Linked DNA regions of Saccharomyces cerevisiae S288C. The gene in region 3 interacts genetically with the main gene of each other region. Each region holds a gene or a part of one and is shown on either strand. Other genes may lie near its edges.

Region 1 (5,366 bases), on a different chromosome or scaffold from region 3:
CGTTCAACTTCAAAACAGCCAATTTGGAAAGGTTTGAGACATTCTCGGGCTGCTGAGAAATAATTTCATACTTAACCACTTCATCCGGGTTGGGAGACTTGATCTTGTCCCATTCCAAGGTGGTTCTAGAAGACTTCTCTACCAAATATCTCCTGAAAAGCGTGAAAAACGAATCCAGTTCGTTCTCAAACTTAGCGCGAGCAGCATCGTCAAGTTTACTAGAGTCCGCCAACTTGTTTAAGGCGTTTCTCATTTGTGAGGCAGCAACGCTGTTTGTGTTGCTCTCGAATGCATAAGTGGAATGTGTTTTGGTGTGCTTCTTAGTGGACATTATTATGTTATGGTACACTTGCTGTGGAAGTTATATTATATAATCGGAAGAGGACTAGGCCTTTTAACGTTGCTGATGTGGAAAGAACCAGAAATTGAATCTCCAACTCCTAAAACCGTAACTTCAATCTCATGGTACCTGCTGGAAGAACTTTGTTGTTTGTTTAGATTTATATACTCAATCCAAAACAGGGAAAGGAAATGCAAAAACGGGCCGAGCCCAAACAAAAGAGGAAGCGCGTCAGGCTGTTCGAGAAGGGGCGGGGGAAGGGGATCAGGTTACAAGACGCTGTACAGGGATCTGTGTGAGAACAAACCGACACCAGAACTTTGGACTTTGCAAGCGCCGGAATTGAATCTGTAGCAATGGCAATGGCAATAGTGATGGCACCAGGTGTAACAGCAAGCCGGCGGTAGCAACGTGCGTAATAAGGACTTCTGCCCCTGAAAAAGTATGCCAAAAGTAGGAGAAAGAAAGACCCCTTTAGCTGTGAAAGAAGAAGGTGCTCCCCGCCCATTGTCTGCATGCGCCCCTGAGCTTGGCGACTCTCGAATACCGTGGAAGATGGTGGAGCACCAGAGTAAAAGGCCGTGCGCACTCTGACAAGGCAGTATTGTTACAGGTTAAAACAGCTAGTGTGTATATGTGTAAGTAAGTATTATTTATGTGTTTTACTTAAATTGGTCATTCATTGCATGGTAGTTCTTTACGCGAATTTCTGCCTGAGGAGAAGGGAGAACCTGACCTACAGGAGAAGGGAGCATAGTTACCTGTCAATACCAGCCTAACTCGGAATCGTCCAACAGCTTCCAGCCGATACTAACGAAATTTTCCAGGGCAACGTTCTCAAGCCTGGGTTCCTCTGCGGCTACTGGCGCCGTTGTCGGTTGTGTACCAGAAGTACGGCGTTCATCAAGCAATGTCTTCATGACTGATGACTCGCGGAGGCCTTGGCCCGACTTTGGCCACATGACGTCGTTTCTGGTCGTGGACGAAAGTCCTCCTGTCAGGGACATTATGGGCTTATTAAGCTCGTGCTCGAAGATCTTGAATGGCTTGATCATTGTCAGCACGCTGGTGATTTGAACTACTTCATTCATCGAGTTTGACAGCTTCATGACCAGGTCCTGCGACTTCTTGGTGTCCTGAGTATTCTGCGTTGTAGTTGCCGTCATCATAATGCTAATGAGTGATGTAGGCATCTGCTTGACCAGTTCAGTGATGTTGTAGACCTCGTGCAGGATAGCAATAGCAAAGGGGGAAATTATCCCCCGGCAAAGGTCTGAAAGGATAGTGCCAGTGTCTTGTTTCAGGCCTAGTAATTTCTTGTAAAAATCTGGATTCCCCTCCGATGGAGGTGCAGCGCTAAGGTTCCCAGCGACTGGAGACGAGCCCATAGCAGATGGGCCCTCTTGCACTGTCGGATTATTAGCGGGTGGGTTCGGTGGTCTATAATTAAAATCAATACTGTTCGTAGGATTCAGTCTTAATATCAACGTCAATACTTGCAAAATTATTGATATCAATGAGCACAGAGAGTCTGCTATTTTCGAACTCAAATCCAATGTCAAATCTGAATAGACTCCTGCTTCTGAATCGTATAATGATAATAAGCAATTGATGAAATTGTGTTTGCCAATTAATAGCTTGCAAAATAACTGTGCTACGGATAGAGGTTGAGTTTCCACATATTCCGATAAGAGTGAAGACGAGTTCGTAATATCGAACCCAGGCTTCCTATTGCCGTTCATTGATATTCTATTCCTGGTAAGCTCACTCATCAATTCACCCAATTTCAAGCTTTGCAAGACGCTTTTCAGTCTCAATTGGCTTTGTTCCAGGCACCATTTTGAGCCCAAATCATTAGAAAAAAATCTTTCTGTAGAACCTTGGATGGAAATGTTTAATAGCTTGGGACCACCGAATGCACAGCTTTGTAAAGAATCAAACACTGAAAGCAAAACGTATAATCTTTTAAACAACACTGAATAGTGACTAATGTTTTCGTCCATGGAATTTGGTGAATTGGATGGATTCATATGCCCAGCACTTTCAGATCCAATTTCAAATTCGGACGTTTTTGTATTCCCATTACCAGTGCTGACCTCTTCATCAACTGGAGGCTTCACATCATTTATATCCGGCTCCGGAAATAATAGAAGTTTGTATAATTTAAATTCGTTAAAAATTGTCACCGACATTCCAAGTACAAATGAGTTATCGTATCCAACAAATGCCAAAATGTAATTTAAAAGAATAAAAGTAGATAAATAAATGACTTTGATCTTCGGCGAAATTTGGTCGTTGTTTTCTCTGAATTTGGGATGAATATCCACGATTTTTTGGAAACATTCATTGAGGGCGGCAATAAAAACGCTTTGCACTTCCAAAGTATCCTGTACTTCATTATGTGAATCACGTCTTGTTTTTTCAGCATCATCCCTTGCCGTGGCTGTAGTGAACCCAGCTTTGTTGTTGTCATTACTTGGCGACAAAGCCACGCCAACAATATTATCGAAAAACTTGCCACCTGGCTTTTGTTTCAGAGCAACACGAACTAACAATTCCAATGAATTTCTAAACCACAAAATAACATATGAATTGACTTCGTGTATATTGGAAATTGGCTGTGTGTTAACTAACAATAAGTCACTGGTCAAGGTCGTTTTGTTTAAAGGTATGATCGGAAATCCTACATGTATGAACTCATAGTAGGTGTCTATTAGATCTACATCGGATATCTGTCCATACGCGATAGTTGATGAAGTGGTCATTGGGTGAGCAGAATCTTTCGATGTTATAGATATAGATGAATCTCTCTTTGGTTTTGTCTTCTTAGATACGTAACTTTTTCTGCGTTTTTTTGTACTTCTCTGTGGCGTTGATCCAGGGCTGGATGCTTCCAAAGCCGCTGGTGTAGTTACAGATTCTTGGGAATGTTGAGATGTATCCTTAGAAGAACCGCTATTATTGCTGCCATTATTGTTGTTAATTTCACCATTATTATTCTCATTACCATTCAGCCTGTCCGTGGATAATGTTACTGATACGGGGGCTGATTGTCGCCTTTTATTTCCATCCAACTCAGATGAAAATTGCGGTACCTGCTGTCCTTGAGGTCTTTGTGTTTGCTGTGCAACATTTACGGGGTTTGTAGATGTGCTAGTAAACATGGCAGGTGCACTGGGAGACATAGCCTCGCTGGCGACTGATCCTTGTCTAGAATGAAAACCATTAGCAGCGAACTGGCCAAAAGATGATATCGATGGGTTGTACGGTTGCTGCTGGGAAAATTGAGAATACGAGTATAGGTTCTGTCCTTGTTGCAACTTTTGTTGGTGTGCTTGTGGCTGCGATTGTTGCTGAGGTGGGGGAAGCTGAGGCTGGCCACCTAGTAAAAGAGAATTTGAAGTATTTCGTAGCAAAGAAGGTATGGAACTTGATCTTCTTGTCTGTTCCCCATTATGATCATCAGTAGGAGCTAGTAAACCAGAAGTTCTTATAAAGGACCAATAACCACCACTACCAGAGGCACTGCCTGAGCCGGTGACACTTCCGTTTGCATTTCCAGAATCATTAGTATGTTTATTCGTTATGGGAGACTGTTGAACGGTGTTATAAGACAACTGCTCGTTGGGATTTAATGTTCTTACCGATATATCACTTTGCAAAGAATCGATAGATCCTTTTCTTTGGTGTTGAAACTCATGGTAGGGCACTTTCCAAAACTGCTGTTGGCCAATATTACCCGCGGGCATAGTTGATTGTATCGCTGGATTTTGGAAACTAGGAGGAATGCCACCAGCCTGGGGAATGTACTGTGTCAGTGGGGGCAATAAAACTGAATTAGATCTCGAAGGGGTACTTGGAACTGTGTTACTGTTTATACCGTTGTCGCCGCTATTGCCCGTATTATTATTCAGGGTATTGTTACTATTATCAAACGTATTATACGACCTTGAGTTATTGTGGTCTTGTATTTCGTTAGTCCTTGGATGGCTGGTGCTCCTCGTATAGCCTTTCGAGGGTCCCCTTTTCAAAGGAACCCTATCAAAACTACAACGGTCTCCATTCCTTTGGCAGTTTGAGCAGACCCCCTTTTCATCTTTGTAGTCACATTTAATCTTCTTTTTACGACACTGATCGCAGGCCCGGGAGGCCTTTGTTCTTTTCTTTATTGCGTGACTTGCTGCTGCTGCGGAGTCCATATCGTCGGGACTATTGGATGTACCACCGTTCTTGGTGGAGTCACTGGAGTTAGTCGAAACAGTGTTCAGCTCGTTCATAATTTGAAATATATTGGAGTTTGAGAGAAGAGTACAGCTTCTTGACAAATGTGAGAATCGAAGAAGCGTGTTATTATTGCACCAATGAAAATTGCGGGAACGGTTCTGCACAATATAGTACAAGGGAGAGGCGATTTCCAACGAAGTCTATGGTGAAAGAGCAGAATATGTTGGATGGACAATACTCCAGTCTCAAAACTCCAAGCACGGTTCCTAACTGATGTGTTCTTATTTTGACTTTTTTTATTTTTTGAATTTTTACTAGTTGCTACTATTTTTTTTTCCTGTTTTTCCTTAAAAGGTCCCTTCCCATAATCGTCTTGCTTAGTTAGCTACATGAAAAAAAAGGAAAAAACTAAAGGAAAATGCACAAAGCAGCGACATATTTTATGAATCCAATACCTGCCATTTCAAGAAGCTCGGATTATTGGTGAGGTGACGTAGCTTTTGTTTGATGTACTGTTGATTATTCGTCTCTGGTGCTCATAAGCCACGTCACAGAAAACGATAAACGATGTTAGCGCACATGCTACATGACTTGCCAATCGTGGTAAAGCTTCTGATGAAAGAACCAACTTGCGGAAGCGTGCCCATAAAATGGTCGTGCGGCTTAACGAGCAATCACACCGAATAAAGTGATCCCGTAAAATGATATTCTACTCGGATGATCCGTTCCCTAGGAAGCGTAAGACAAGTAACTACAAATGTTGTCGCATGTATATTCTATTACTCAGAGCGTTTGACAAAAA
Region 2 (6,115 bases), on a different chromosome or scaffold from region 3:
CGGCCTGTTCTTCTTCTGGGATCTGTCATCAATTTTTTTCCTTCGTTCTTCGTTCTTCGTCTTCTCCAGTTGTGAGTTTTCTAAATATACCTATATATAAAATAATAAAATCTAATCAATGCAACGTGTTTGACAGTGACGTTTACAGATAGGACGACCGGATGAGCGACTGAAAAAGGTGCTATTATGAATGCACGGTTTCGCAAGACCTCAAACAATCGTACTAGTATTTCTGAAATTCTGCTTTACTGCCCGACCTTTCCAACATGTCGCTGTTTTTTTGTTTTTCTTCAGAGTCGGGTAAGAGCAATAAAGTGAAAAGTTAACAGATTCAAACACTGATGTGATGCATGCATGATAAGGAATTTGTAAAAATAATAGAACAATGCTGCTTCGTATAGGCGCTATTTAATTAAGTAGTTATATAAAGAGAACGGTGCAATTGAATAGGAAAGGAATGACGGATTTTGCTTCTATGTTTGCTTTTATTTGAAGCGTGGGTTCTTATTTATGCTAAGTAGCTCAGTAAATCCATCTTAGTAACGATATGGATTGGTTTCAAGCCATCAGTGATAACGGCAGATGAGTTTTTTTCAAAGAAACGATTCAAGTCAGATAGCTTTGAGTTTTCATCGAATTTAATAAACTTCTTCTTACCGGATTTATTTTCGTTGTAAGAGGAAACATCATTGAAATTGTTTAATTTCTTGAAGTCCAAGTATTTACCCTTTATAGTGTTGTCGTTGTTTGAATTATTGATTGATAGTTTTCTTAGAAGCTCAGAGAGAGTAACTAAACCAGACAACTTGCCGTCTTCAGTCAACACAGGCAATTGGTCAAAGCCATTGTCTTTTAATATCTTGATAACATCAGTGACCTTAGCGGTTTCCTTAACGGAAACAACCGGTTTCAAGTGAAGATCCTTTACAGTAGCGTTACCAAACACATCAGCGTATTTTGTCGTCGAAGCCTCCAGCTTTGAAGAGTCAAAACGGGCCAACACGTCATCATCCCACAAATTGTTCTTTTTCAACCATTCGTCATCGACGAATTTGGTTAGGTACGACCTGATGGAATCTGGGAATATGGCAACAATGACATCATCTTCAGTCAGTTCAGGGTGGTCTTCACAGTATTTCACAACCGCAGTGAAGGCAGAACCGGAAGAACCACCCACCAAGACACCTTCGTTAGAAATCAATTGTCTGGCGTATTTGAAAGAAGGCTTGTCGTCTGTCTTATACCAAACATCAATTAATTTTCTGTCCAAAACCTGAGGAACAAAATCATAACCAATACCCTCAACTTTGTAGTCAGTGATATCAGTCTTATTCAAGTTTTCAGGTTGGGCTAAAATTGAACCGAATGGGTCAGCACCAACGATTTGGATCTTATCATTCTGTTCTTTCAAGTACTTGGAAATACCGCTAATAGTCCCACCAGTACCAGCACCAGCAACAACAGCGCGTAGATTATCAAATAAATTCAAGTCTTCTAGCTGTCTTTGGATTTCGCGACCAGTACCAAAGTAATGAGCTTCTGGGTTCATCATATTGTTATATTGGTCAAGTATAACAGCACCAGGAATCTCTTTTTCCAACTTCTTAGCAACACCAATATGTGATTCTGGAGAATCCCAGGCAGCAGCAGTTGGAGTTCTGATGATTTCAGCACCCAGAGCCTTTAGGACAGAAACTTTCTCGTTAGACATTTTTTCCGGCAAGGTGATGATAGTTCTGTAACCTTTGATGGCGCCGATTAAAGCTAGACCGATACCGGTGTTACCAGAAGTAGGTTCGATCAGAGTAGATCTGGAAGGATGAATTCTACCGGAAGCTTCAGCTTCTTCCACCATAGACTTGGCAATTCTGTCTTTGATGGAACCACCTGGATTGTATAGTTCCAGCTTAGCATAAATTTGTGGTTTGATACCCAAAGCCTTAGGCAATTTTTTCAGTGCGATCAATGGGGTGTTACCAACTAAGTCGATAACGTTATGTCTTGAATCGGCTTGCTGCTCAGATTTAGTCATTTTTATTCTTACGTCGTATTTATCTAGATGTCCTTTGAGCAAGTGGCCTACAACGAAATCTTCAAGTGTTGCCTTTTACTTTGGCATAGAAGCATCACGACATTTATATATACAAGCCTGGTGAAGTGCCTTGCGTTTACTTTAACCTTTAGGAGAAAAAAATTTTCGGTGTTGGTTTCTTTTTTTCCTTTCGGTGCAAAACTGTGGAGGAAGATGGCAATAAATTAGTGAAACGGTAATGCCGTGTGGACTGCATATGCCGGATATAGCATTTATCAGTCACGACAGAGCTGATTATCCTTACTTGGGTGAAGTTGAAGTTGTTGTGATAAGGTTAGAATGCAAATGAAGCTTTGTCAGCGCTGAGAAAGAAAATTTTGTTTTGTGAGCCACTACTATCACGTGCCATTACCATTTTAATCAGTTATGAAATAGGGGAATGTGTCATTGAGGGAAAATGTAATGGCCACCAAATGAATCAGAGGGTCGGATGAGAACACACCCTTACTAACTGCTGTTCATATCTCACAGTTGCCATTGATAAGCTCTGGTGGGAAAATACCCTTGATTTTTGGTAGCACATATTGACATAACAAAAGTCTTGACTTTGCCAATTGGAGAGATGGCCACTTATAGAGGAAAATACTCGTAAAAATAATCATAAACAGTAAGCCATGTCAGTATCTTACAAGGGAACAATTTCTAAGACACATTCTGTTTTTAAACCAGAAAAAGGAAGGTATTATATTTACGGGGCCCTTGGGTGTCCATTCACTCATAGAGCCATTCTTGCCAGGTCTTTGAAGAAATTAGAACCTGTTCTAGGGCTTGTGTTATCTCACTGGCAATTAGACTCCAAGGGTGCCCGTTTCTTACCTGCTCCACACCGGCCGGAAAAATATAAAGAGAGATTCTTTACTGCCACTGGTGGCATTGCTTCAGCTAAATTAGACGAATCTGAGGAGTTAGGTGATGTGAACAATGACTCTGCAAGGTTGTTCGTGGATGGCGCTTTCGACCCGGTGGAAAATATATCAAGGTTAAGCGAGTTGTACTACTTAAATGATCCTAAGTACCCCGGTACAAAGTTCACTGTGCCTGTTCTGTGGGATTCTAAAACAAGGAAAATTGTTAACAATGAGAGTGGCGATATCATAAGAATTTTGAACAGTGGCGTGTTTGATGAATTTATCCAAAGCGAAGAAACGAACGTGATTGATCTAGTTCCGCATGATTTAATAGACGAGATTGATAAGAACATCAAATGGGTTCATCCGAAGATTAATCTTGGTGTCTATAAAGTCGGATTAGCAGAAAACGGAAAGATTTACGAAACTGAAGTAAAAACACTGTTTGAAAACTTGCAGAAGATGGAATGTGTACTAAAAGAAAATTATAAGCGCTTAGAGGAGCAATTCAGTGGTAACAAACAGAAAATCTTGGCTAAATATTTTGTTTTAGGACAGAGGTTAACTGAAGCGGATATCAGATTGTATCCATCAATAATTAGATTTGACGTCGTGTACGTGCAGCACTTCAAATGCAATTTGAAAACTATAAGGGATGGTTTCCCGTACCTTCATTTGTGGTTGATTAATCTATACTGGAATTACGCAGAGTTTAGATTTACTACAGATTTTAATCATATTAAGCTCTTTTACATCAGGATGGAAGTAAGTAGGAACAAGATCAATCAGTTTGGTATAGTGCCATTAGGCCCAAAGCCTGACATTTCTAGATTATGAAAACTTCTAATATTTTCTTACACACACATATATTTATATGCATGGCTATACTTCAAAAGAGGTTGTCACTTCCATTTCCATGTAGGTAAAACTCGTGTATAGACGGAACACAGACTTCCCTAGTTTTATTGACTTCATAGTCTCTGCACCATTCAATTATGTCTCTGTAAAAGAGACTCTTCTTTATATCGCCCTTTTCTATATTCTCCATCTCCAGTTCTTTGAAGCATTTTGCTTTTCTCGATTTATGACAACCACACGGTTTTACACTCTCCTCTCCATGTTCTACCATTTCATGCCTCCAGTCAAAAAATGGTTGACTGTATTCCCTACTTGAATCCATACTTGATTCAACAAGGTAGTTTCTCGAATTCTCAGGTAGTACTGCCACCCTCCTTAAACGTTTCTCTCTTTGTCTTGCTTCCTTTCTTTGTTCTATTTTTGGCGGAATGGTAAATTTCACAGGATTCTTGGATCCATTCTCATTTTCATTCAAGGCATTTAAGTCCAAGGAAAATAACCGTATGCTCACGTTGGACCCTTCAAACGTGAAACTATCTTCACTCAATATACTTCCTACACCGCATTGTTCCTCGTTACTACTTGAATCCTGTATATCTGAGAGAGAGGTAAAAAATGAGTAGGTATCTCTTTCCCCCTCACATTCGTAAGTGCCGACTTCTTTATTCAAACAGGCCTTTCCCATTTCTCAAAGACCTCTTTTCGTAACCTATTTAGTAATGATGAAAAGTATTAAACAGTATTTTCAAGATAAGAATTTTATTATTTTGTACCATTTACGATACACATAAACCCCAGAAAAAAACAACTTTATGGGAAAAGGCGAATAGTACTCATAATATACAAGGTAAAAGCAGGCGTATCTCAGTCATACAGTTCAATAGAGAAAGGCATTTTTGGAATATCATACATTTTATCTAGCAAGTGGAAACAGACTGTATATTCCCAAGAATCATCGCCTTTTTATCACAACGTCAGCCTCACAACTAATTCGCGTCAAAGCGCATTCATCCTCGACATTCTCAAACGCGAAATATCGTCGAAAAAGGTTAAAAAGAAAAGAGAGAAGGACAGAAAAAGAAAAAAGTAAAGTAGAGCTCGATCTCGAAAAAAAGAACCATTGCGTTCGTTCTTAACTACGCCAAGAAGTTTTTGAAATTTCATCCTCTCCACTGAACAATAATACTATTATTTAGTAACGATATAGAACATTTACATACAACGTTCTAATATTTTGGCTTCTATCATCGCTTAGAAATATTTGGCTAGGAAACATTAGGACTAATGAGAGACTATAAATTAGTAGTATTGGGTGCTGGTGGTGTCGGTAAATCCTGCTTAACCGTGCAGTTTGTACAGGGAGTTTATTTGGATACGTATGATCCAACGATCGAAGATTCTTACAGGAAAACCATCGAGATCGATAACAAGGTATTCGACCTGGAAATTTTAGATACAGCGGGTATAGCACAATTTACTGCAATGAGAGAATTATACATAAAGTCAGGAATGGGGTTCCTGTTGGTATATTCAGTAACAGATCGGCAATCTTTGGAAGAATTAATGGAGCTAAGAGAACAGGTCCTTAGGATCAAAGATTCCGATCGCGTTCCAATGGTTCTAATAGGTAACAAGGCTGATCTAATCAATGAAAGGGTAATAAGTGTGGAAGAAGGTATAGAGGTAAGCAGTAAATGGGGTAGAGTTCCCTTTTATGAAACAAGCGCTTTGTTGAGGAGCAATGTGGATGAAGTGTTCGTTGATTTAGTTAGGCAAATCATTCGGAATGAAATGGAAAGTGTTGCAGTTAAAGACGCAAGAAATCAAAGTCAACAATTTAGCAAAATCGAGTCTCCATCAACCAGGCTCCCTAGTTCTGCGAAACAGGATACGAAACAATCAAACAATAAGCAATCATCAAAAGGTTTATATAACAAATCTTCACAAGGACAAGCTAAAGTTAAACAATCTACTCCGGTTAATGAAAAGCACAAACCGTCACATGCCGTTCCGAAATCTGGTTCTAGCAACAGGACAGGAATTAGCGCTACTTCACAACAAAAGAAAAAGAAGAAAAACGCTTCCACTTGCACTATTCTATAGTCACTTAATTTTATTATAAATGAATCAAGATATCAGATAAAAAGACTTTACTTGAAATAGTTTTATTATAGTTCTAAAAGGTTTAGTTTAAAGTATTAGCATACGTTGTATAAGTTTTTAAAGAAATCAATTAATAATGTTTGAAAATAAATTTAAACCCAAAAAAAATGAAATGTTAAAAATATGGACGCAACCGGAATCGAACCGATGACCT
Region 3 (5,633 bases):
TAGTTTTGTGCCCATCGGTTTGAATAACTCTCAGTCTGAATCCACTCGCATCTTTGACTTTGGAACTGTTTTCGTTCCTATTATTATTCCTGTTCGCGAATTTTCTTAACTTCACTTCCTTTGCAGACTCAATTTCTTTGTTTAATAAGTTGTTGAAGTCATCGCTGGCTTCATTATTAGAGTCCTCCATTTTGATTGGTTTGTTAATCTAATATTGATAGTTTTTTTTTTAATGTTCTTCTCTCTCTTCTTCCTGTTTTTTCATGGCAATAATTTTGACTAGTTTTTCTTTTTTTTTTTTTTTTTTCATTCTTTTTCATTATTACTTAAGTTCTGTAAAGATATATGGAAGAGAAAATAAAAAGAATAAAACCAAAGATAGTGGTACAACTGACGTTATCTGTTTCAGACATAAATGAAAAACTTCTAGCCTGACAGCCCAGATCACTTTACAGGATTTTTAATAGTAAATATAATAGTAAAGAACCTAATATCCAATAATGTACATTCTTAGTAACTAGCCAACCGCAGTACCCGATGACTGCGTCACCAATTTGTCCAATCAGGCCAGAGCTCCATGATAAAGGATACTTTTCGATATGTAAGGATAACGGCACTGGCGTCCCTGTAGACCTTGGTAATCTTACGGTAAGATTAACGGGTTGATGATCGCTAAATAATAGAGCATTGGACCTAGGGACGGAATGGTAAGTACCTTCTTGTGCGAAAGTTGGCACTGCATAGCTTTTGTAGAGAATCCTATCGCACCACGACGGGATTCTTTTTGTATTATATGTTTCCTTTTCAAACAACTTGAATTTGTATGTCGGTGGAAATGTTATCTTCAGCTCCTGAAAACCTTTGCATAACGGTTCATCCTCTCCTTTACGTAGCAGATTTAGTTCTTCATGATTTTCTAATAGACGCCTTAACGTTGTGGTGGACGAATAATTGGTAGTTGGATCATAAGTACTAGTAACCCTAAAATTCAAATCGCCTAGAAAGAAAAAGTGGTCGCTTTTTGCAACCTCAGAATCACACACTTCACTCATTATTCGTTTGTAATCATCTATTCTTTGATTTCTATTGTTGACACCTTCATTTGCATTTAAATGAGCACAAATATAGCTAAATCTTTCCCAGTTCTCCTCGCCATTGCGTGTCATCTGAAAACTTATCAAAGTTCCACCTTTCAAGTGTGTACCAAACCAACCGCATTTCCCATTCCGTTTCAAAATATCATCTTTTACCTTTAGCGCATTATTATTGTATAATACTATTATGGTAATCGCCCCAAGACTATTCACCCCTAAACATGAATACTGCTCATCCCCTTGTGTAGCTGACACTTTTTCATTCAGACAATTAACCGCAGTAGTTGTAATTCTATCGATTAAATCACGATTAACAGCAGGGAAGGAGCCTTGCCATATGGGGACTACTTCTTGGAACCCCAACACATATAGATCTTGCAATTCCAATTGGGAGATGCCGTCATCGTAGGGGAAAAGCAATTGCTTAACGATTGCTTTCGAATTTTCAACGGGAAATTCCTTACCACAATTGAATGTAGTTACAGATACCTTCCAATTCGTTTTGTTCATTCGGTCAGAATCCTGCTGTATTTTCTTGTCTCACTTTTCTTCTTTGTTAGCCTACTCTTACCTCTTCAGTTTTGTTCTTTTCACTGTATTTTCCTTTTTTCACGCTATAACAACAATAAAAAAAGGTTATCATTTAACTGGTATGTACATACACATACACACATATATATATGTACTCATATATTTATGTCTATCAATAAAGTAAAATATATGTTATTTAGGCGTTTCTTGACTGAATGACATCGCATGATGTAGACACCACCAAGTCATGTAACTCGCGTGGGCCACTTGACGCTATAACTCCCTTCGTAGCTAGCGTTCTACCGTTACCGAAGTCTAGAGGAACATCTTCCATGGCATCTGTATGGATACCTCCAGCTTCATGGACAATAACGTTGCCTGCAGCATGGTCCCAGATCTTTTCTTGGTAAGAAAGTTTGATAGGCAGACGTAAATATACGTCTGCTAAGCCCAATGCTAACAAACAGTACTTGGCTTGAGAATCCAAGTGCAAAGATTTGGATATATTTAGTTTGTTTTTGATAGCAGTTTGTTCATCATGAGAGGAGTGTCCCTTTTCAACTCCCTCTAAAGTAATCATGTCTTTAGTGTCTTTTAAGTGTCTAACGTGGATTTTGGTCCATGACTCTGCATCTGAAGATGGAGAATAGAAGGCACCTAAACCTCTAACAGCACGAAAGATATAACCAAATGACTCATGGCCTTTCAAATCTTGGGCCCCATAAGAACTTAAAACTAAGTTGGGGCATCCAATACAACCAAGCTGAACAACACCGTCCACAATTAAGGCCAGACATACTGCAAACTGTTCACCTCTTAAAAACCCCTTGGTTCCGTCAATAGGATCCAAACACCAAAATCTTCCTTTTCTACCACCTTCGTAATTGCCGAAATCGATGATTTGCCTGACGTCCTCCAAAGATTTTAGCGGAAACTGATCGTTTGTAAACAGAAAATCATCCTTTTTATAATTCTTGTTATAAACTTCGTCATTGGCTTTTATTTCGTTTAAAATTCCTGAGACGAATGCGTCGCTCAATCCTGATGAGGATTCTTCACCAACTACCTTATCATCAGGAAAATTGCTCTTGATAGCATTTATGATGATCGTTTGTGCAGCATAATCACCTGTGGTTACTGGAGAATTATCATTCTTGGTAATAGTAGTGGAGTCCTTGTGAGAAATCACTTCAGATTGAATTCTCTTAGTCAATAAAGACGCCTTTCGTACAGCTTGAGTTGCAACCAATAATTCTCTTTCCAATGCCATAGTAAAGTGCTGATGTCTTCTGAGTTGTCTTTAAACTTCTTACTTACTAACTAATAAATTAAAGAGAAGTGCAAACGTTCTTTATATGTGGCATGGTTTCTTCTTTGCAAACTGAAAGTAAAATCGCAACACGTGATATTGCTCGTCTGAGTCATTCGCGCATTTCAATGAAGGAAGGATTATTATATAGATGGCTATGTAAATGTCAAAATATGCTATTGTTGAGTTGTTCCATGCTCAGTTGTGATCTTGAATGCCCTCAAGGAGCCTCTTGATGCTACGTATAAGGTAGCATATCCCTTACGTTTTAACTCTTCACTGTCAGATGCATAAGTGTAATCTAGTCCGCAAATATCACCCATGGGGAAATAGACGTCGCACACGCCGCAGTATGTGTCCGAGCTCTCTCCATCTGCACCATACATTGGTGCGTCAAACAAGTTCCTGTTACATCTGCACTCTGGACTAGGGTTAACAGGGTCTTGGACTTCCCATCCAAGAATATACTCTTGTCTAAACGAATAGATGCCTCTGTACTCTGTTAGTCTTAGTAATGAAATGAGACCCAATTGTGAAGCCACGGCTATGCAATTTAGTTCTTTGATGTGACACACAAAATTTATTCTGTTTAGTGCTTGGAGCAGCGACTTGGAAGCACACGTCACAACACCATCTAAGGGAAAAATCTCATGATGAGTTGCTGATATAATTATGAGTGGATTTGCTTTCATCAACACCAGCCTATGGGCTGTGGTTAGGAAGAAGAACTCGTCGTGCATTTCGGATAGTTGATACCCAAGAGGCGAATCTTCTGAGCCCGGTACTGCTGACTCTAATAACCGCTTGACGTTTCTTACATAGTTGTGGAACCCCCAAGATTTCTGCGATTCTGATTTCAAGTGAGCACGCTGTTCAGTATCCCTATATCTTCGCTGGAAACTTGTTAAGCTGCTACCAGATTCTTCATTTTCAGGGTCGCTATTGACATCGTCCTCTTCTGTAGAGTTCAGTTGAAGGCTACAAATTTCTGGGTCCTTCAAGACCGTGTTCAAATCCTTGCCAAAAAGTGTTCTCCAATCGGCAGCGGCATCGGTGTTGTACCATAAAAAGTTTCCCGATTCAATATTTGGTATATGATTTACTGAACTTAGCGATTTGAACTCTTTTGAAGTTCGTAGTTGTCTTTGTTTATCCATTTTCAAATTACGAATACTTCTATTAAATTCGCGAGATATATCTTCAATATCATTTTCGAGATCAGTAAGTTTATAAGTAGACGGCTCACAGATCTTTCTCCCAGAAGTGTTTTGATATTGCGATGTTTTATTTCTTCCACTAGGAGTTATCAACTGTGGAAAAGTATTAATAATATCCTTGTATTTCGAAAATCCACGCTCAGTAGCACGATAATGTTTATAACCAGAATCCTCCCAAAATGTCCATTGGTGTAAATGCTGTTCACATGAGGTGTTTTTTGTCACTGCATCATTCATATCGTCTAAGTCACCGGCATGTAAAATAAGTGCAAAATCCTCTCTGCTGTACTCGTATTTTATCGAGCCCGTTGTAGTGTAATTTCTATCAAATGAGGTAAATCTTAATGGTATAACTTCATCGGGGATCCCTGCTGAAGAAGTCAGTCGTAGGTCTGTGACAGGAACCTGAAATTGATTGAGTAATGTACCAATACCGAAATTCCCAGAGAGGTAGGCGTTATCACAGTAATACCCAAGTAAAAAATCATCTCGGCAAATAGAATATAACATGCTTTCTTTGAAACCGTCTTGGTAGTTAAGATTCAACAATTCGAAATTGTCAACTTTCGCAAAATCCTTCTTAGTCAGTGGAGTTATTGTCCATAAGTCGTCGCCAAAAAATTGAGTATCAAGGAAACTCGTTAAAATGGTACAATCATGCTCCTTTAATTTAACGGTAACAACATTCCCAAATATAGAACAATAACTTAATGTAATATATCCAACAGAATCTTTTGAATTAGGAACAAAGTTAACACAAGGAACATTGTGAGATGAGGGAAGATCTAGAGGCCGAATGTACCGTCTTTCCTTCTTTACATCTTTATCGAATGCAAAGACTGTAACTCCAGGCTTGTTATGGCCAACAGCGATATATATGATGCCATTTATATCTATTACATCAACACTCCAACAAGATTCCTCTACTCTTAACACCATATATGGATCAACATTTATGTATCTTTCCCGGCTGTTATCTTTGCCTCCCAAGATATCCGAAGTAAATTTATTAAATATCTTAATAACTTTGTTGATTTCCCAGATATAAACGATTCCGTTGTCACCGCAAGCTAGTAGAAAATCTTGATGCATGAAGTTACAAATCTTCATAAAGTTGATAGAACATAGTTCAGGTATGCTGTTGAACTGTGTATCCTTAAATTTCACATATGATGAATTGCGGAAGTTTCTTACATCTCCGTCATCTGGTATTATCACGGGCAATAAGGCGTGACATATTTCTAATGACGAAACGTTCAATAGTATATCGAAATTATGAACTTCGACGCATTGACCGGCAGCCAGGAAGGAATAACTCCCATAAGTGACGAACAAATTGTTCTTGAACTGCAAACCACCATAAGCAAACCTATTTGTGTATTGAAAAGGTGCGAACTCTAGTGGTATCTCTTGAACAAGTAGTTTTTCGTCCTGTGGCAATAGTAATTCAGCTGGATTCAAAAGCCTTGATGGTCCCCAGAC
Region 4 (5,897 bases), on a different chromosome or scaffold from region 3:
ATTAAAGAGAGAGTAAGCAACTTATGGCAATGAACATACTTTAGATGGAAGAAATGCGGTTAGCAAGGTGATACAGAGGCTTCATGTGACCGGAGAAAGGAGATACGAGACCGGAGATAATAGAATATGATGAACCTTAACTGTTGAAGAGGAAGAAAGCATTAAAGTGCTTGGTAAAGACAACAGTTTTCTGAACGAAGTTCCTTCATTATTCACCCCAACCAAGCCCGATGGTTCCTGAAGCTAGGCGTAACTTTCCAACTTCAACATAGATTTTGCCACTCGGCAGTAGCTGTCCGCGAAAACTTTATTTTCTGCACCTATATGTGCCTAAAACTTACTCTCCTGCAGGGAGCTCGAGAAAATAAGGGATTGTGGGGTAATCTTTAGTGGGGGTATCTCCTGTGCCTTCCCCCGTAATTTGTTTGCCTTCATGCCTGCCTCTCCTTGTCTCAGGTCACACCATTCACGATTCCTTCATGCCTGCTACCGATTTAGTAGTAAGAAAAGCCGTGGCAAACAGTCAGGTTTACACCAGCTTTTTTCCTTGGAATTGTTAGCCCGCCTTTTGGTCGTAATGCACACCACAATAATACGTCATTAGTCAAAGTTTTCACAAAAAATTGATAAACTAAGCTTTCGTACTAATTGTAGAGATGTTGATTCGACAGATGAACGGTTCTATAGTTTCAGTGGACGTAGCGCTTTGATATTAAAAAATTATGTACAATATCATGTTAATTAGTTGAAAAATCATAATGTCAATTATCGCAAAATGAAAAGAAGAATTGGTACTCATCCAGAGTTTCAATTTAGCAAATAAAGTAATAGACAATTCATCAAGCTTTGAACTTTGTCGTAAGACCTTTCAAAAAGGAAATAAGTAAAAAGATAAAGAAACTCAATAGACTTGGAAAAAGGATAGAAATGGACATATGCCGACTTAAATGCTAAAACCCTCGACTGTTTTGAACCCATTGTTTCAATACCGTGTCTTTAACGGTTACTACCACAGTTAGGTCACAAATCTTTTAGTGGCAGATGCTCCTTGAACTACTAATGACCCAGGTCACCCAGAGAGGTCAGAGACTTTGTACGGGTACCTATATGAGGTCTTTTTACTGTATTACAAAAAAAATCTTACTCCATTCGCTATTATGTTGTGTGGAAACATGCCTCAAAATGTTTTCACCGCAAAAAGTATGCTTGTTGTATTTGCCAAGTTAACGAAGCATGAGAAAGTTTGCCCCCCCGAGTTGAAACAAAGTTATCTCTTCTAATATGATGGTTGTTTGTGCGGCCACGCTAATAACGAGCTCAAATATTCCCTTTATAGTAACAACTGAATATTTGGGAAGAATCTATATTTCTATATTATTGTATACACTTTATTTAGAGGAATGGTACAGTGTTACGTTCCTGGAAATGCATTTTTAAGGATCTTCCATAAGCACTCAAGTGGACCTATGTTGACTTCCCCATCTTCATCACCACTCCGTTTTCACTCCATAAGCATCCTACTTTTTATACTCTGCTTTGCCTTAAAGAAACAGAACTTCGTACAATGTTGCCTTAACCAAACGCTTTCTTTCACTAAATAACTCGTTATTTTATATAGTACTAGTAGTCCGAAAAAGGGAGTTTGCAAAGAAACTCGTAGTTTTTTGTTGATTAAATTTGAAATTACGTGTCACTTCGTTTTACAGTAGGCCCTATTTTTTTTCAAGAATTTATCTCTTAGCATGTTTATCAAGCGCGCATATTGATCAATTAAAACTCTTTGGGAACTTCAAAACTTCTTTCCAGCTTTTCTTCTTAGCCTCAGTTTCCCTGGAAGAAGCTCCTCTCCTTGAGGGTGGTACCCAAGATGCAGATTTCCATGGTTTTATACCTTCTTCATATAGTAACTGGATTTCCTCCAAAGATAGACCAATTGTTTCTGGTAAAAAGAAGAAAACGTACAAAAACATAGCAACCAAACAACCTACGAACACATAACCATAATAGAAGTGGATAGACCCAGTAATGAATGGTGTGAAAAAACCAATCAAGAATTGCCATAACCAGTTGAATGCAGTCGAAATTGACATTGCTTTAGATTTGACCTTCGAAGGGAATGACTCGGCAACCACAATATAAGCAACAGGGGCCCATGTCGTTGCAAAGCAGAATATATAGAAGCATGTGAACACAATCATGGCATTACCTGCACCTTTCGAGGATGGACCATCCTGGCCATGAGGGTAAAGACATTTTACCCCGATACTTGCAAATATGACCATACAAGCCATCATTGAAGCCGCTCCGAATAACAGACATTTACGACGGCCTATTTTGTCTACGACCATAACAGCAATAATAGTGGAGAAGAAATTCACTGTACCTAGGACGATCGAAGTCTCAAACCCATCAGTAAGCCCAACTGATTTGAAAATGGTAGTTCCGTAGAAGAAGAAGTAGTTTTCACCAGTAAGTTGCAAAAAGGTTTGCACAAGAATACCTGTGATCAAACGTTGAAGGACTTTTGTTTTGACGGAGAAAAGTTCTTTCCATGAGGCTTCCCCTAGTTCTCTTTGGGCAAGGACACCGGCGTTGATTTCATCAGCCTGTTTGAGTACCCATGGATCCTCTGGTGAAACCTTGTTGATCTTGGCGATGGAGACACAGGCCTCTTCATGTCTCTCACATTCAATCAGATATCTTGGGGACTCTGGAACTAATAACATGCCAACGATGATAATTAGAGCCCACAGAAAGCATAGTCCCACAGGAATCCTCCATTGCGCAGTATTACTATACTTCCTTGTTCCATAAACGCTACAATAACCCAAGAAAATACCGAAGGTCATGTTAAGTTGGTACAATGAGACAAGTCCACCTCTCAAATCTGTGGGGGCTATTTCAGATAAAAGCATTGGACACAACACCGAACAGCCACCAGCACCAAGACCGTAGATGATCTTACCGACAAAGTATTGGTACCATTTGTGATTCGAACTGATCTGAATAATTGCACCAACCATATATACCAAAACCACGATTACAATTGCTAGCCTTCTACCTAAAGTATCAGCAAGTCTCGCAAAAGCAACACCGCCAATGGAACATCCTACACTGAACATGGCCACGAGAAGACCCATACGCACGTTGCTCAAATAATACTCACCAGTACTGTGCTTGTAAGAACCAAAATTCATTTTAAAGTTATCCATATTGATGAAGCCTGCAGTAATACCACTATCCCAACCAGGTAAAAAACCGCCAAAGGATACAGGATAGCATAGTAAGTAGATAATAAGGTAACCTAAAAAGCCTCTCTTCGGTGCGTCTGGCGTATTTCCATTAATGACTTCTTTGTCATAAAACCCGTCTGACCATTCTTTCTCTCCGGGTGGCTGTACATGAACGTCAGCTGCACTACTGTTTAGATTATCTGCATTAATTTCTGGTGAGGACTGTTCGCTTGCCATTTTTTTCCTTTAGTTTCCTTTCCTCCTTTTCTGTCAATAATATCAATAGTTTTACTTCTATGGATAGTAATAAGACTAAACCTGAAGCAAACAATGAATTACTTACTTTCTTTATACGTTTGAAAGTTGGTGATTACAGGCCAACACTGGAGTTATCATACTTGAGTTATATAACCATGTTTAACTTTTTTGCAGAGCATTCGGAAAATCAAACCTTTAGCTGATTGCACTTATGATATTGAAAGGTTCAAGATGCGCAGTACAAGTCCTCGTTTGTTTACATCATCTACCTTGCCTGACTTCTTTGCTAAATTGTGCCTCTGCGCAGTGCACGTTCAAAAGAAAAGCATACCCCGCACTCTACTGTTTTTGCATTTTAGCTTTTAAGTTTTAAGTTACTACCACTGTAGCGCACAAAGCTAAAAATAATTTTGCCTGCAGCAGGCTAGCTGCATATTCATAGGCACATCATGAATTTACTGTAATACGAGACGGAGTTAAGCAAAACGGAGTTAACACAGGCGGAGACATGAAACAAGTTCAACTTCAGTAATAGTAATTGTCACGCAATATCTTGTGGAAATTTGCGTACAAGATTTTTTAAGCGCCAAAGGAGCCAAATACGGAAATAATTACCTAGTCCTTACCAAAGAAATAAAGAAAAAGAAAAAGAAAAACTGCAAACGTATAAGATATTTGGTACATTTTAAGAAGGGGATATTCACTTTAATGATCATATCGCTGATTTAGTAACCCAGATCAAGGACAAAGTTACTATTGTCGTCTTTTAAGGTGGAATCTGTGGTTAGGATCTTTACGAGTACCTAGATGATGTCATCTTTATGCCTAAGAGGTCTAGTGTCATAATTTGTTCAACGTTGCTTTTACCTCTGGCAATACTCCACAATATTTCAGGATTTGCTGCCAAAGTCCATTTTGTGCAAGAGAATGTTTATTACTGTTTTGATCGATTATGTTATCGAGGATTCTGAAAAAATGGTTTATGTCATCCGTCTGAGAAATTATGACGGAAGAATGTAAGCTGCCGGTTACAGGTAAGCAAAATATTTGCAAAGGAATTTTGAGAATTTATGGCTCGACGGCGAGATTTGAACTGTAAACGGATATGGTGAAATGAAGTAAGGGCATAATATTATCCAGCAGCTGTTCTCCCATATAGTGCGCCAAAATTGTAAACATTTTTTATATATTACGCTTTCTCCATGTGCAGGTCAATTTTATTCTTCTTTTCGTTGAAGTGATGTTACCTCATACAATGATTCAACTATAGCACCGTTTCATGCTAAGTTATTTGCACATTCTCCTTACCACAATTCCGTACAATTTAAAAATTTGAATAAAGCAGTATTGCAACAAGGCGTTACAGTCTTTGTTACCCTAAGCATGTCTCAAGAATCTATTCATGTGTGTTCATGGCTCTTCTTAAGATAATATTTCATACCTGGGGTGGCCGTTTCATATTTCTGTTTCTCTAACTTTATACCAGGAGAATTCCTTGTCTAATTTGCTACAAGTACCTTTTCAATATAAATAATTTTCAGTTAATTAACAGAGTAGGAAGAGGAAGGAACAAAAACTATCGCTTATCTTCTTGCATAGGGGTAGTGGAGTAAAGATACAAGTATTCGAGAAATAGATATACATTAAAATAGCATTACTATCCCGGGAATCTTGTTGCCATAAGGTGCTTTTATGATATCAAACCAGGGGGGAGAATATTTGGGAAGTAATTGGGAAGTAATTGTATGTATTTCTAAAATTTTTGGATACTCAACTTTTAAATTCAAAATAGTTATATTTGTTATCGAAATGTAGTAGAAATATTCTAAGTAACCAATTTCAAAACTGCATCTATCTTTGGATAAACTGGTGTGATAAGATATACATTGAATGCTGATGTCCATCACACATATGTTTACACTGGCGTCGCTCTGTACCTATTTCAGAATAGATTAATGACAAAGTAAAAGTTCAATAGGCGGGCGGAAAAAATTAGAGATTCATTGAATCTCTAATTTATTTAAAGTTTATAAGTCGTTACATATTTTTCTATGGTAAGTTCCTGGATGTTCTGGTACATCGAGCGTATTTAATATGTCCATTTGGCATGTCCTTTATATGCCCATCTTGTATAAGGTAGTTTTAAATTCTAAGTTATTCAATACTACTGACTAATCATTGTTAATAGCAATTTCGCAGTCATGTTGGGCTCAAAATACTATAGTCATTTTTGTGATTTTTTTTTTTTATTATTTTGATTGAAGAAGGAACAATTCGAAATATGGAGAAAACGTAAAAAATGTTAGAGTTATAATCGAAATTATCCTAGTTCAGATACTGAAACTTAGGCATAGGTGTAGTCACAAGGTATTTCCCTTTACATATATATTTGTATATGTGCATTCT

Evidence for each region.
Region 1: mutations in MET22 (region 3) and AIM26 together harm fitness more than expected from each alone (negative genetic interaction), as found in Saccharomyces cerevisiae (one large-scale study listed by BioGRID).
Region 2: mutations in MET22 (region 3) and CYS4 together harm fitness more than expected from each alone (negative genetic interaction), as found in Saccharomyces cerevisiae (3 studies listed by BioGRID).
Region 4: mutations in MET22 (region 3) and HXT15 together harm fitness more than expected from each alone (negative genetic interaction), as found in Saccharomyces cerevisiae (one large-scale study listed by BioGRID).

The regions. Positions count from the first base shown.
Region 1 is NC_001143.9:364,856-370,221, reverse strand, and holds AIM26 (Aim26p), read right to left. Parts: upstream 858-5,366; coding exon 501-857; downstream 1-500. Other genes in the region: UGP1 (UTP glucose-1-phosphate uridylyltransferase), read right to left, coding at 1-331; RGT1 (Rgt1p), read right to left, coding at 1,105-4,617. UniProt on the Saccharomyces cerevisiae protein: Involved in selective mitochondria autophagy (mitophagy).
Region 2 is NC_001139.9:794,460-800,574, reverse strand, and holds CYS4 (cystathionine beta-synthase CYS4), read right to left. Parts: upstream 2,033-6,115; coding exon 509-2,032; downstream 1-508. Other genes in the region: cleavage polyadenylation factor subunit PTI1, read right to left, coding at 1-29; GTO1 (omega-class glutathione transferase), read left to right, coding at 2,707-3,777; YGR153W (uncharacterized protein), read right to left, coding at 3,830-4,483; Ras family GTPase RSR1, read left to right, coding at 5,083-5,901.
Region 3 is NC_001147.6:204,282-209,914, forward strand, and holds MET22 (3'(2'),5'-bisphosphate nucleotidase), read right to left. Parts: upstream 2,896-5,633; coding exon 1,822-2,895; downstream 1-1,821. Other genes in the region: bifunctional DRAP deaminase/tRNA pseudouridine synthase RIB2, read right to left, coding at 1-190; phosphoinositide 5-phosphatase INP54, read right to left, coding at 450-1,604; CRT10 (Crt10p), read right to left, coding at 3,111-5,633. UniProt on the Saccharomyces cerevisiae protein: Phosphatase that converts adenosine 3'-phosphate 5'-phosphosulfate (PAPS) to adenosine 5'-phosphosulfate (APS) and 3'(2')-phosphoadenosine 5'-phosphate (PAP) to AMP. May regulate the flux of sulfur in the sulfur-activation pathway by converting PAPS to APS.
Region 4 is NC_001136.10:9,891-15,787, forward strand, and holds HXT15 (hexose transporter HXT15), read right to left. Parts: upstream 3,471-5,897; coding exon 1,767-3,470; downstream 1-1,766. UniProt on the Saccharomyces cerevisiae protein: Probable glucose transporter.